Linked DNA regions of Coturnix japonica. Each later gene encodes a partner of the first gene's protein in a complex. Links are inferred from orthologs where the notes say so. Each region holds a gene or a part of one and is shown in the gene's direction. Other genes may lie near its edges.

Evidence for each region. The genes of interacting proteins can lie anywhere in the genome.
Region 2: TUBGCP5 (region 1) and TUBGCP2 share a complex: the UniProt entries of both Homo sapiens proteins name them as parts of the gamma-tubulin ring complex. The link is inferred for Coturnix japonica from reciprocal best matches to the Homo sapiens genes TUBGCP5 and TUBGCP2.
Region 3: TUBGCP5 (region 1) and NME7 share a complex: the UniProt entries of both Homo sapiens proteins name them as parts of the gamma-tubulin ring complex. The link is inferred for Coturnix japonica from reciprocal best matches to the Homo sapiens genes TUBGCP5 and NME7.

What each region holds. Positions count from the first base shown.
Region 1 is NC_029516.1:117,471,990-117,474,686, forward strand, and holds part of TUBGCP5 (gamma-tubulin complex component 5), read left to right. Parts: intron 1-225; coding exon 226-351; intron 352-914; coding exon 915-1,003; intron 1,004-1,875; coding exon 1,876-1,976; intron 1,977-2,697. UniProt on the Homo sapiens protein: Component of the gamma-tubulin ring complex (gTuRC) which mediates microtubule nucleation.
Region 2 is NC_029521.1:5,974,008-5,977,507, forward strand, and holds part of TUBGCP2 (gamma-tubulin complex component 2), read left to right. Parts: coding exon 1-179; intron 180-391; coding exon 392-572; intron 573-1,183; coding exon 1,184-1,356; intron 1,357-2,237; coding exon 2,238-2,366; intron 2,367-3,278; coding exon 3,279-3,399; intron 3,400-3,500. UniProt on the Homo sapiens protein: Component of the gamma-tubulin ring complex (gTuRC) which mediates microtubule nucleation.
Region 3 is NC_029516.1:74,983,862-74,987,361, forward strand, and holds part of NME7 (nucleoside diphosphate kinase 7), read left to right. Parts: intron 1-1,785; coding exon 1,786-1,836; intron 1,837-2,366; coding exon 2,367-2,574; intron 2,575-3,500. UniProt on the Homo sapiens protein: Possesses an intrinsic kinase activity. Displays 3'-5' exonuclease activity with a preference for single-stranded DNA. Does not seem to have nucleoside diphosphate kinase activity.

The sequences.
Region 1 (2,697 bases):
TAATGTTCCTACTTGTACAAAGTATACAAAACATCACTGAGTTATGAGATGAATTCAGAGTTTTTACTTTTTAGTGGCTAGCAGGATGAGCCTCACAGCTGAGACTGGAAAGGGAAGAGTGAATGTATCAGGCAGTTATTGGCTCTCAAAAAGAAAGTCTTGGAAATGAGTCACAAGGATTTCTGTGCAACATAGGATTTAATTAGCTGTGGTTTTCTCTTTCAGATTCTTCACAGTACCGGCTTGGAATTTCAGCACCAGGTAGAAGAAGCTAAAGATTTGGATCAATTAATAAAGATTCATTATAGATACCTATCTACAATCCATGATCGCTGCTTACTAAGAGAAAAGGTGGGTAAAAACGGAATATTTGATGTATTGAGTTCAGTAGGGCATGATAATAGTTTTGTACTAACTATGCTGTGACTATTTTGTAGGTCATACATACATTGTAATAAATAGATCCTTTTGAGGAAGCGGTAACTTGTTCAGGATTAATGGTGATGTTGTTTCCCTCATAAGTCTCAGTTTTGTTTCTATAAAGAAGAGAAAATTAAATCATTTACATTGGAGTTTACATACATTTGTCTTTCAGAGGTGCTGGGATTTGAACAAACAGGCTTGGAAATGTAGTGAGGATTGTACGTGCTAGTGTGGTAGGAAATGAAGACATACATTGTTGCAGTCATCAATCTCATATACTGTCTGTGCTAATCCTCAGTGAAATCATCATGAAATGAATGAGGGCAAATACAAGATACATCTTAACTGGGCAGTCTTGTCTAATACCTTGGAGACCACTTTTACAGATGAGATTAAATGGCGTAGGATACTTTTGTATCCTTAACAATGAAAATGATTATGCAATTCATTAACAATTATTTTTCTTATTGCTATTCCTTTTGTGACTTTAGGTGAGCTTTGTGAAGGAGGCTATAATGAAAGTTTTAAATGTAGTGCTGATGTTTGCAGACCGTTGGCAAGCGGGTTTGGGAGCTTGGAAGTAAGTGTACATACCTAAAATAATACACAGTCATGATTTCACAGCTCACAATGTGCTTTTGGGATGTTTAACAGTAGGTGCCAGAAGCTAATCACGGTTTCTTAACAAAAGTGAAAATTATCTGAGATAGAACATAACATATGCTTGTGTGAGTGCATATTCAGCGTTTTCTAATGCCAAGTATGGTTCCTAGGTATCTTTAGAGTATTTGAAAAGATTGCAGAGTGTAGCAACAAAAAGAGGTATTCATCCAAATCTAAATCTAATACCTAAATAACCTTATTTCTGTAACTTAGACTGTCCACATTATAAAACCTTTGTGAAAATTTCAAGGGCAAAAATGTGGACATGTTGAAATCTATGAAAGTTGACTTTGGGGTGAAGATTTTCATGTAATGTCTAGGTGACCTCTAGAGTTCCTTTCCTGCCCCTACAATTGTGTGTTGTTCTGTGATTCTGTAATAAGAAGGCAGTATGGGTGATTGGGGCCTGTTTAACTTGCTATCTGTCTCCGTTTTATTTGGCACTGTAAGTTTATCTCCAAAGCAATTGGCACAAGGAATGGCTGTCTTGAAATTCCTGTGAAGACCTCAGACTCATCAGCTGAAACCACAAAGTTCCCCCTAGTAACTGCAGACACTTACAAAGAGATGACTATCCTTAGTAATGCCACTCTGATACAGTGCTCAGGCACTCCAGTCTAAATTTGCCACAGCTAGTGTGGCATACTCAGATATAACTAGAATCTTTTAAATTCAAGATGGAATGCAATGCAGAGAACGTGCTGGTCGTTCGCTGTGAAATTGTGGTTATATTTTGAAGGTAACAGTTGCTCAACTGAGTGGTAAGTGTACCTCCCTTCTACTTTGTAGGATGGAATCCATAGAGAAAATGGAGTCTGACTTTAAAAACTGCCACATGTTTCTTGTAACTGTCCTCAACAAAGCTGTCTGCCGAGGCTCATTTCCTCACTGTAAGTACATGATTCTTTTCATTTGCCTGCACTCATCACACAAAATGTGTTTAAGTTTTAATCTGTTAGTCAGTACAGATTAAAGAATCTCATTTGTGAAAGTAATAAATGAAGTAGTCAGAGAAACATAAAGCCTTACTTTCAAATAAGTTGAATTCATTCATTCTAGAATACATGTACCTTATTTTCTTTTTCATGACTACTGTCTCCAGTTTAGCTGTTTGCTTGAAGAAAGGATCATAGAATCACAGAATGGCTTGGGTTGTAGGGGACCCAATGGTCATCAAGTTCCAAACCCCTGCCACAGGCAGGGCCACCAACCTCCACATGTGGTGCTGGAGCAGGCTGCCCAGGACCCCATCCAACCTGGTCTTCAACACCTCCAGGGATGCGGAATCCACAGCTCCGGGCAGCCTGTGCTAGCACCTCATCAGTCTCTCTGTAAAGAAATTCCTCCTGACATCCAATCTAAACCTTTCCTCCTTGAGCTTAAAACCATTCCCCCTTGTCTTATCACTCTCTACCCTTGTAAAATGTTGATTCCGCTCCTGTTTATAATCCCCTTCTAAACACTGGAAGTGTGCAGTTGAGGTCTCTTTGCAGCCTTCTTTTCTCCAGGCTGAACAAGCCCTTCTTTTCTCCAGGCTGAACAAGCCCAGCTCCCTCAGCCTGTATCCCTTGACTGATACAGCCAAGGCAGTCTTCTATATAGGTAATTAAA
Region 2 (3,500 bases), on another chromosome or scaffold:
AAATACTTGAACGTTGTGCGAGAATGTGGACGTGATGTTACCTGCCCTGTGGCTAAAGAGGTCATCTACACGTTAAAAGAGCGAGCGTATGTAGAACAAATAGAAAAAGCATACAACTATGCTAGCAAAGTGCTTCTGGATTTCCTAATGGAGGAGAAAGAGCTTGTGGCTCACCTAAGGTTTGATTTGTTTTGTTAAATATGTGTTAGATAGGTTGGTTCTGATGGCAAATGTCAGGTTTTAAAGTTAGCTCTCTTTTCCTGGGACAGCACACATAAAAAAAATTTAAAAAATAGTTTCCAAGTAGGTTATTTTTGTCTGTTAAAAAAGCAAGTTAAAAACCATGGTTTTTTTGGAAACAATAATCAATGATCTTCATTTTCTTGAGCAGATCTATAAAACATTATTTCCTGATGGATCAAGGGGACTTTTTTGTTCATTTCATGGATCTCACAGAAGAGGAACTTAAGAAGCCTGTAGATGACATTATAACTACTAGGCTAGAAGCACTGCTTGAGTTGGCCTTGCGAATGAGCACAGCCAACACAGACCCTTTCAAGGATGATTTAAAGGTAAAAAAGTGCATGAGCAAAAGGCTTGCTGTGTATTGAGGAGGTCTCTGTGCCTATGAGAAACTGCTGAAAATGCAGTGAAAAAGAGAAGAATTGATGACTGTATTTCTGTAGACCTTCTCTGGGTGAAGTCTCTTTATTTCATTGACAGTAGCAATGGGAAGCAATGCAGCAAGGGGCTGCGTTTTCTTGTTGATGTCTGAGCACGGAGAAAGTGCTTTAGAGTGGCATCAGGATGAGGTGAAAGCAGTAATGTATCTCTCACCCACATTCTCAATCTTGGATGCCCATTTTGGAGTACAAGAAAATCCTTGATTATAAGTTCTGACTACTAATGATTGTTGCAGCTCGGTTGAAAGCCTTAACAAATGTGAACCAGCACACAAGCTGTGCTTGGGGAGGTTGATATGACTTTATAAACTGCACAGCAACACTGCTCTGCTGTCTGCTGCAGCACTGTTCAGATGATGCTATTCCTCATTGCTCCCTAGGTTGATGTAATGACTGGAGATTATCTCTGACAATTTGTAACTCTTCTGTCACTCAACTGTTGTTACCTGGTACTTGTGAGTACCCTGTGGCTTCATTGTTTTTCTGCTCTTTCTTTGTAGATTGATTTGATGCCCCATGACCTCATTACGCAGCTCTTGAGAGTATTGGCCATAGAAACAAAACAGGAAAAGGCCATTATAGGTGCGGATCCCACAGAGCTCACTCTCAGTGGTCTGGAAGCATTTTCTTTTGACTATATTGTTAAGTGGCCTCTGTCCCTGATTATAAACAGGTAAGGTATCCATCTACCATAAAACAAACAAAAATGGTCAGAAGCTTTTGTACAGGTTTACGTTTCCAAACAGCAAAATGCTGCAACGTCTGGGCCATTTTGCATTAAATTGAGTTAGGATAAACAGAATGCTTTGTTTTTCTATAGTGACTTGCTTCTCCACGGAAACAGGGCACTGGCAGACTGTGAGCCAGGCAAATGGGTCAGGCAGCATTAGGTGGTAAATGCCAGCAGTATCTCCTCACTTCTGTAAAATAATCAATTGACACAGTGGAACCTTCATAATGACACAACGTATCTGAAATTATGTCTCTTTCGTTCATAATGGGTGTATTAACTTCGATGGTAACTATGGAAGTGAAAATACTAAGTACAGTTTCACAAACTGTATTGGCTGGAGCTCTGTAGACGCCTACAGCTGAAGTGTCTGAGCACAGACCTGCACCCAGTCCCCGAGGCTATAAATAAGCATCCCCATCTGCTTCTGACAGTGCTGCCTATAGCTTGGTTGCAGTTTATCTTATTGGAAAATCCTGGTGAATTACTGTGGCAGTCATAGCAACGTTGGTGCAGCACAGACACAACTGTAGGTTTTCAGACCTCTGTCCCAGCTTGTATGTAAGTGATCTTTCTGCAGGTTGATCGAGGGCATCAGAGAAAGAGGCTCATGAAGTACCTGGTGAAGGACGAAATCCTTTGGGATGATTACACATGCTTTTAGTTTTTTATTCATCTGTTAGAATTATTTCATCAAAGGTGTGTGTGTGTGTCTGAAGGTGTATGGAGCATATTGTGTTAAGACTCCCTTGAAGTAGCTTCAGCCTTCACGGCTTATTCTGTCAATCAGAAGAGAACTTAATCTGAATCCCCTTTCTTTCCAGGAAAGCACTGACAAGATACCAGATGCTTTTCAGACACATGTTCTATTGCAAACACGTGGAAAGACAGTTGTGCAATGTTTGGATCAGCAATAAAACAGCCAAGCAGTTCTCCCTACATTCAGCTAAATGGTATGGCTTCTTTTTCTGTTGAGGCTTTGTTTTTTTCCTTCTCCCTAGTTAGATGCATTGTGGCATGAATCAGATTATTTTGACATGGAACATATCGTTGCAAATTTCTGACAGGCAGAGGGAGGTCAGACAGAACATTTTAGGATGCAGTAGGAAGTGTCTGCTGAATAATCTTCAGGCTGCTTGACTTGTTTCTCTTTGGTGGCGCAAAGTTTGGAAAAGGAATTGTAAGGAACACACGGTGTCCTGAATTGGAAGGGACTCATGAGGATCTTTGAGTCCAACTCCTGGCTCCACACACAGGACTACTCAAAATCCAAACCTTATGTCTGAGAACACTCATTGAGCGCTGGCAGCTTGGGGTTGTGACCTCTGCCTGTTCCATGCCCACCACCTTCAGTCTCAGATGGTCTCAATGAAGCACAGGGCAGGCCTGTGGCACTGCAAGGAAACACCTTCTGTCTTGTCAACAGCACTCACTTCTCACAGGGTACCCTCAGCTACCTTGACACTGACCTCAGCCAGCATGGGCTCTTGGTCTTTTGACACTGTATAAGGATTAGTGGAAGAGACCTGGGGGGGATCTGTAGTGCACACTGCTAGCAAACACATCTCACTAGTTAAAGTGATAACATGGCTTTAATACTGTCCATTTATGTTTGGATGTCATCAGATTACTGTGTCTAGTGCACAGCAGGTGCCACGCTCTGAATCTTGTAGTTGAAGGGAAAGTCATTTCCATACATGGAACTAAATCAGAGATGCTCTGCAATAACTTTGTAATCACTCTCAGACTGCAACAGAGGATTTGCTAGGACAGAAATAGTTAGCTCTGCTTTGCTCGGCTTTGCAGGCTTGGTTCTCTGTGGCATTTGCTAGCTCAAAGTTGTGTGGGTGTGATTTCTCCCCTAGGTTTGCTGGTGCTTTCACACTGCGGCAGCGAATGCTGAATTTTGTGCAGAATATCCAGTATTACATGATGTTTGAAGTGATGGAGCCAACGTGGCACATTCTCGAGAAGAACTTGAAATTGGTGAGTGTGTGTGCTCGAGAGAAGTTAGAACAGAAATCGTATGTTACCACATTTGGTGTAGGGAGAAGATGCCTTGTTTTAGGTACTGTTAAATGTCTTAT
Region 3 (3,500 bases), about 42 Mb from region 1:
GTCCATCTGAAGAGCTTATCCTTCTCCTCAAATTACAGCATCAGAATATGCTACGCACAAGGATTTGGAGCAAGCCAAGACCAAACCTGCACTTCTGAACTGGAATTTTGAAGTTGCAGTTGGAAGATAACAGCTAAACTTGAAAACTCTCATAGATTCTTCTAGCTGTTTTCATGTAGAAAAAAACAGTGAAGGCAGCAAGAGTTTGCACGAGGTGTGGTTTGAGAAAAAGGAGGGAGGAGAGTGGGCTGTCTAGCACAGGAAGTGGGAAGGTGAAAAGCCAAAGTGATGTTTCACAGGTGGATGGAACGTGGGCCTGTACTGCAGACCCTGAAACTGAGCACTAACTAGCAGCATGGCTGTGGCGATGTAAAGCTTGGAGAGGGCCATCATCCTGTGTTAATGATGAATATTCTGGCATTTAGCCTGCAGCATCAGCTGTGCTGTCTCTGTACTTAGGTACTGTGACTAAATAACAGCTGCAGTATGGATACTTTGTGTGCTTGCTGGCCTTTGTTTACCTGACAAGATACAGAGCCCTCCTCATTATGGAAATCCCTTGCTATGAGAGAAGGCAATGCTAGTAACTGGAGTTCTCCCTGAGGGAAGTGCATGACAATACTCAGTTATCAAAGGGAAAAGAGTATGAGAAAGCATGTTTTAATCTAGAGGGGTTGTGCTGCCTATTTGAATTGTAACATTTGTGGATACTGAGTAGAAACCAGATTATGCAATATGCTGTTGTTAACTGTCATCAAACACTAGCTCCAATAAGGAAATAAGTTTCAATGAAGCAGATAAATTGTTTATTTATGCTTTAAAACCAGATTTCGTTACCCAACATACACACTCAAGCTGAACTGCAAGATCAAAGCAATGTAACAGTGAACAGCTTGTCAAGTGGCTGTTTCTGCTGTTTGTTTCCCAACCTGAGAATGTGGAGCCCATCAGTGACCTTGAAAATCTTAGTTACAGGTTGCAGTGATAACTTCCTTCCCAGATCAGGACTGTGAAGAGGAGTCGATTATACCTCTGACCATGCTCAGTATGACAAAGTTAAATGTAAGAGTGCTGCTCCAAAAGTAATGCCTCCTGTGATATTGTGTGAGATGGTGGTGGAGGCTGAACCTTCACAGCAGTATTCCCTCACATGCTGTTTCCACGTGGCAGATGGCAGAAGAGGGGCAGTCTGACAAAGTGGCATCTGACATGGGAATGCAGATGAAGCAAAGGTGTGTCATATTGAATTCCTCCATGCAGGAAAAAATAGCACCCAGAGACATTCACTGATGCTTACTGAGTGTTTCTGGGAACCAAACAGCAGATGTGGGCCAAGTAAGATGGCAGGTGGTTACATTTCAACACTGGTGACAACAATAGTGGGTCACTTCCACTGGTGCAGTTTTGGATGGGAGTGGCATGCAGGGTCTGGTTTATCACTGGTGAAAATGCACAGCTAGTGGAAGTAACTGTTAAAAAGCAGAGAAGATTCTCAGGTACAAATACTATCAAATAATGTTATTGTACTCTTTGTATCTATTGCAGTTTCTGTTGAAATAAATAGGAGGCATTACTTCTGGAGCAGTGTATGGGTATGAATTCTTTTACTGGGTATGAATGCCCCATACATTTTCCAACTTGGGAAGGCATTATGTGTAGAAAAATGTTGATGAATGATAGTTTGTGGTTCTCAGGGTTTATATATACGTGCGAGTGTGCGTGTATATATATATGCACATATAAATGCCTGTGCATATATAAAGCTGTGTCTGTTTACTCTTCCAGAAAAGAAGCAGCTGATTTCTACGTAGACCATCAATCAAGACCTTTTTATAAGTAGGTACATTGTTTTTTTAACTTGATGCATATATTTATTGTTCTGCAACAGCAACTGATTTATTGTGGGTCCAAACTCAAGCCCTTCAGTGAGACATAAGTACAGGCTATGTCTGACCATGATGGAGATCAGGAGATCTAGAACTCCATTTTCTTTGCTGAATAATTATGTTTGAATATGTTGATTTGCAAGCAAGAGTTTTGCCTGTGCTGTTATTTCACAGATGTCTGTCTACACAACTTGTAGTTATCTGTGGGACCTTAAGCTTTTGTCCATGCCTGCTTGGTCTTTCCTTCTAGAGTGTTATTCACTACATCTTCTATATAGGATTCTTCTCAAATTTAGAAACAATTATAAATCATTTCAAATCAATGAGAACAAAAGTTGTCCTCAGAGCAGAGCCTACAAAGTTAGGTTAGGTTGTTCATAGGCTTTGCTGAGTTGAGTTTTGAACATCTCTACTGGATTGCATATTTTCGTTGGCTTTAATTTACAGCCTGGATCACCATATGCTGTTTCCATTTTGCAGTGAGCTTCTCCAGTTTATAACAAGTGGTCCTGTTGTTGCTATGGAAATCTTACGGGATGATGCAATTTGTAAGTGGAAGACATTATTGGGGCCTGCAAATTCTGCAGTTGCTCGAACTGATGAACCGGAAAGCATCAGAGCAAACTTCGGACATGATGGCCTAAAAAATGCAGCTCATGGCCCAGATTCAGTAGCCTCAGCCGCTCGAGTAAGTTTTTGACTGTGTCACTTAACTAGTTTTCTTATTAATTTAATTCGATAACACTACTAGATCAGGAATTCCTCATTTCTTTTTTTCCCGTTTGAGTTCAGAATGAATAGGTATTCTATGTTGCTCCTTTTTAGCCTGCAAAAATAGACTGTCTGGAAACAGGAATCTTGTTTATCTTTGTCATAAACGGAAGTTTTGGATACTTTGATCAGGAGAACATGCCTAGTCTTCGAAAAACTCTGCTCCCATTATGCATAACAAATATTTATGAAGGCAGACCATTTTGTATTGCTTTGTGTTCTGAAAGGTAATACAGCAGGCCTGGCTTCTAGGAGTTCTCTTTTACTTTGTAGTCTGTATTTTCTTAGAGTGTTAAGAAAGCCCTAGGGCTGGGTGATTAAATATTACCAGCATTTCTATAGAACAGAGGTGTTTATGTTCACTGATGGGGGTAGATCTGCTGATAAGCAATGGCTAGAATAAAGTTTACCTAACAGTTGTTTGGTACTGCACTGTATTATCTTAGCTTTAGACTAGCAGGGAAAAGATAACTGTTGCCTTCTGGATCCCAGTCTTTTCCTCTTCTTACACTGGAACAGCTGCAGTAGCACAGCTTGAAAGAGACCAGTTCTGGGATAACTTATAAACTACCAGCTACTGTGTACTAGACGACGATGTGCTAGCAATCAGGGTAGAGTCAGCCCCTTGCTGCAGCTGCTGTGTCCTTGCTCAGCACTGTGAGGCCTGGGCATTGTTTAAGCACCATGCTCAGGTGTCTGAGTGGTACCTGGTCTACGGGCTTCTCTGCTTGACTGTAGTTTTAATAAGTTACTTTCCAGACATGGAATACTTCTTGTGGTGGCAAGTCTAGTGGAAGTGGTACCTATCTAGAAAGAGTTTGGATAAAGTTGAATTTTTATAAA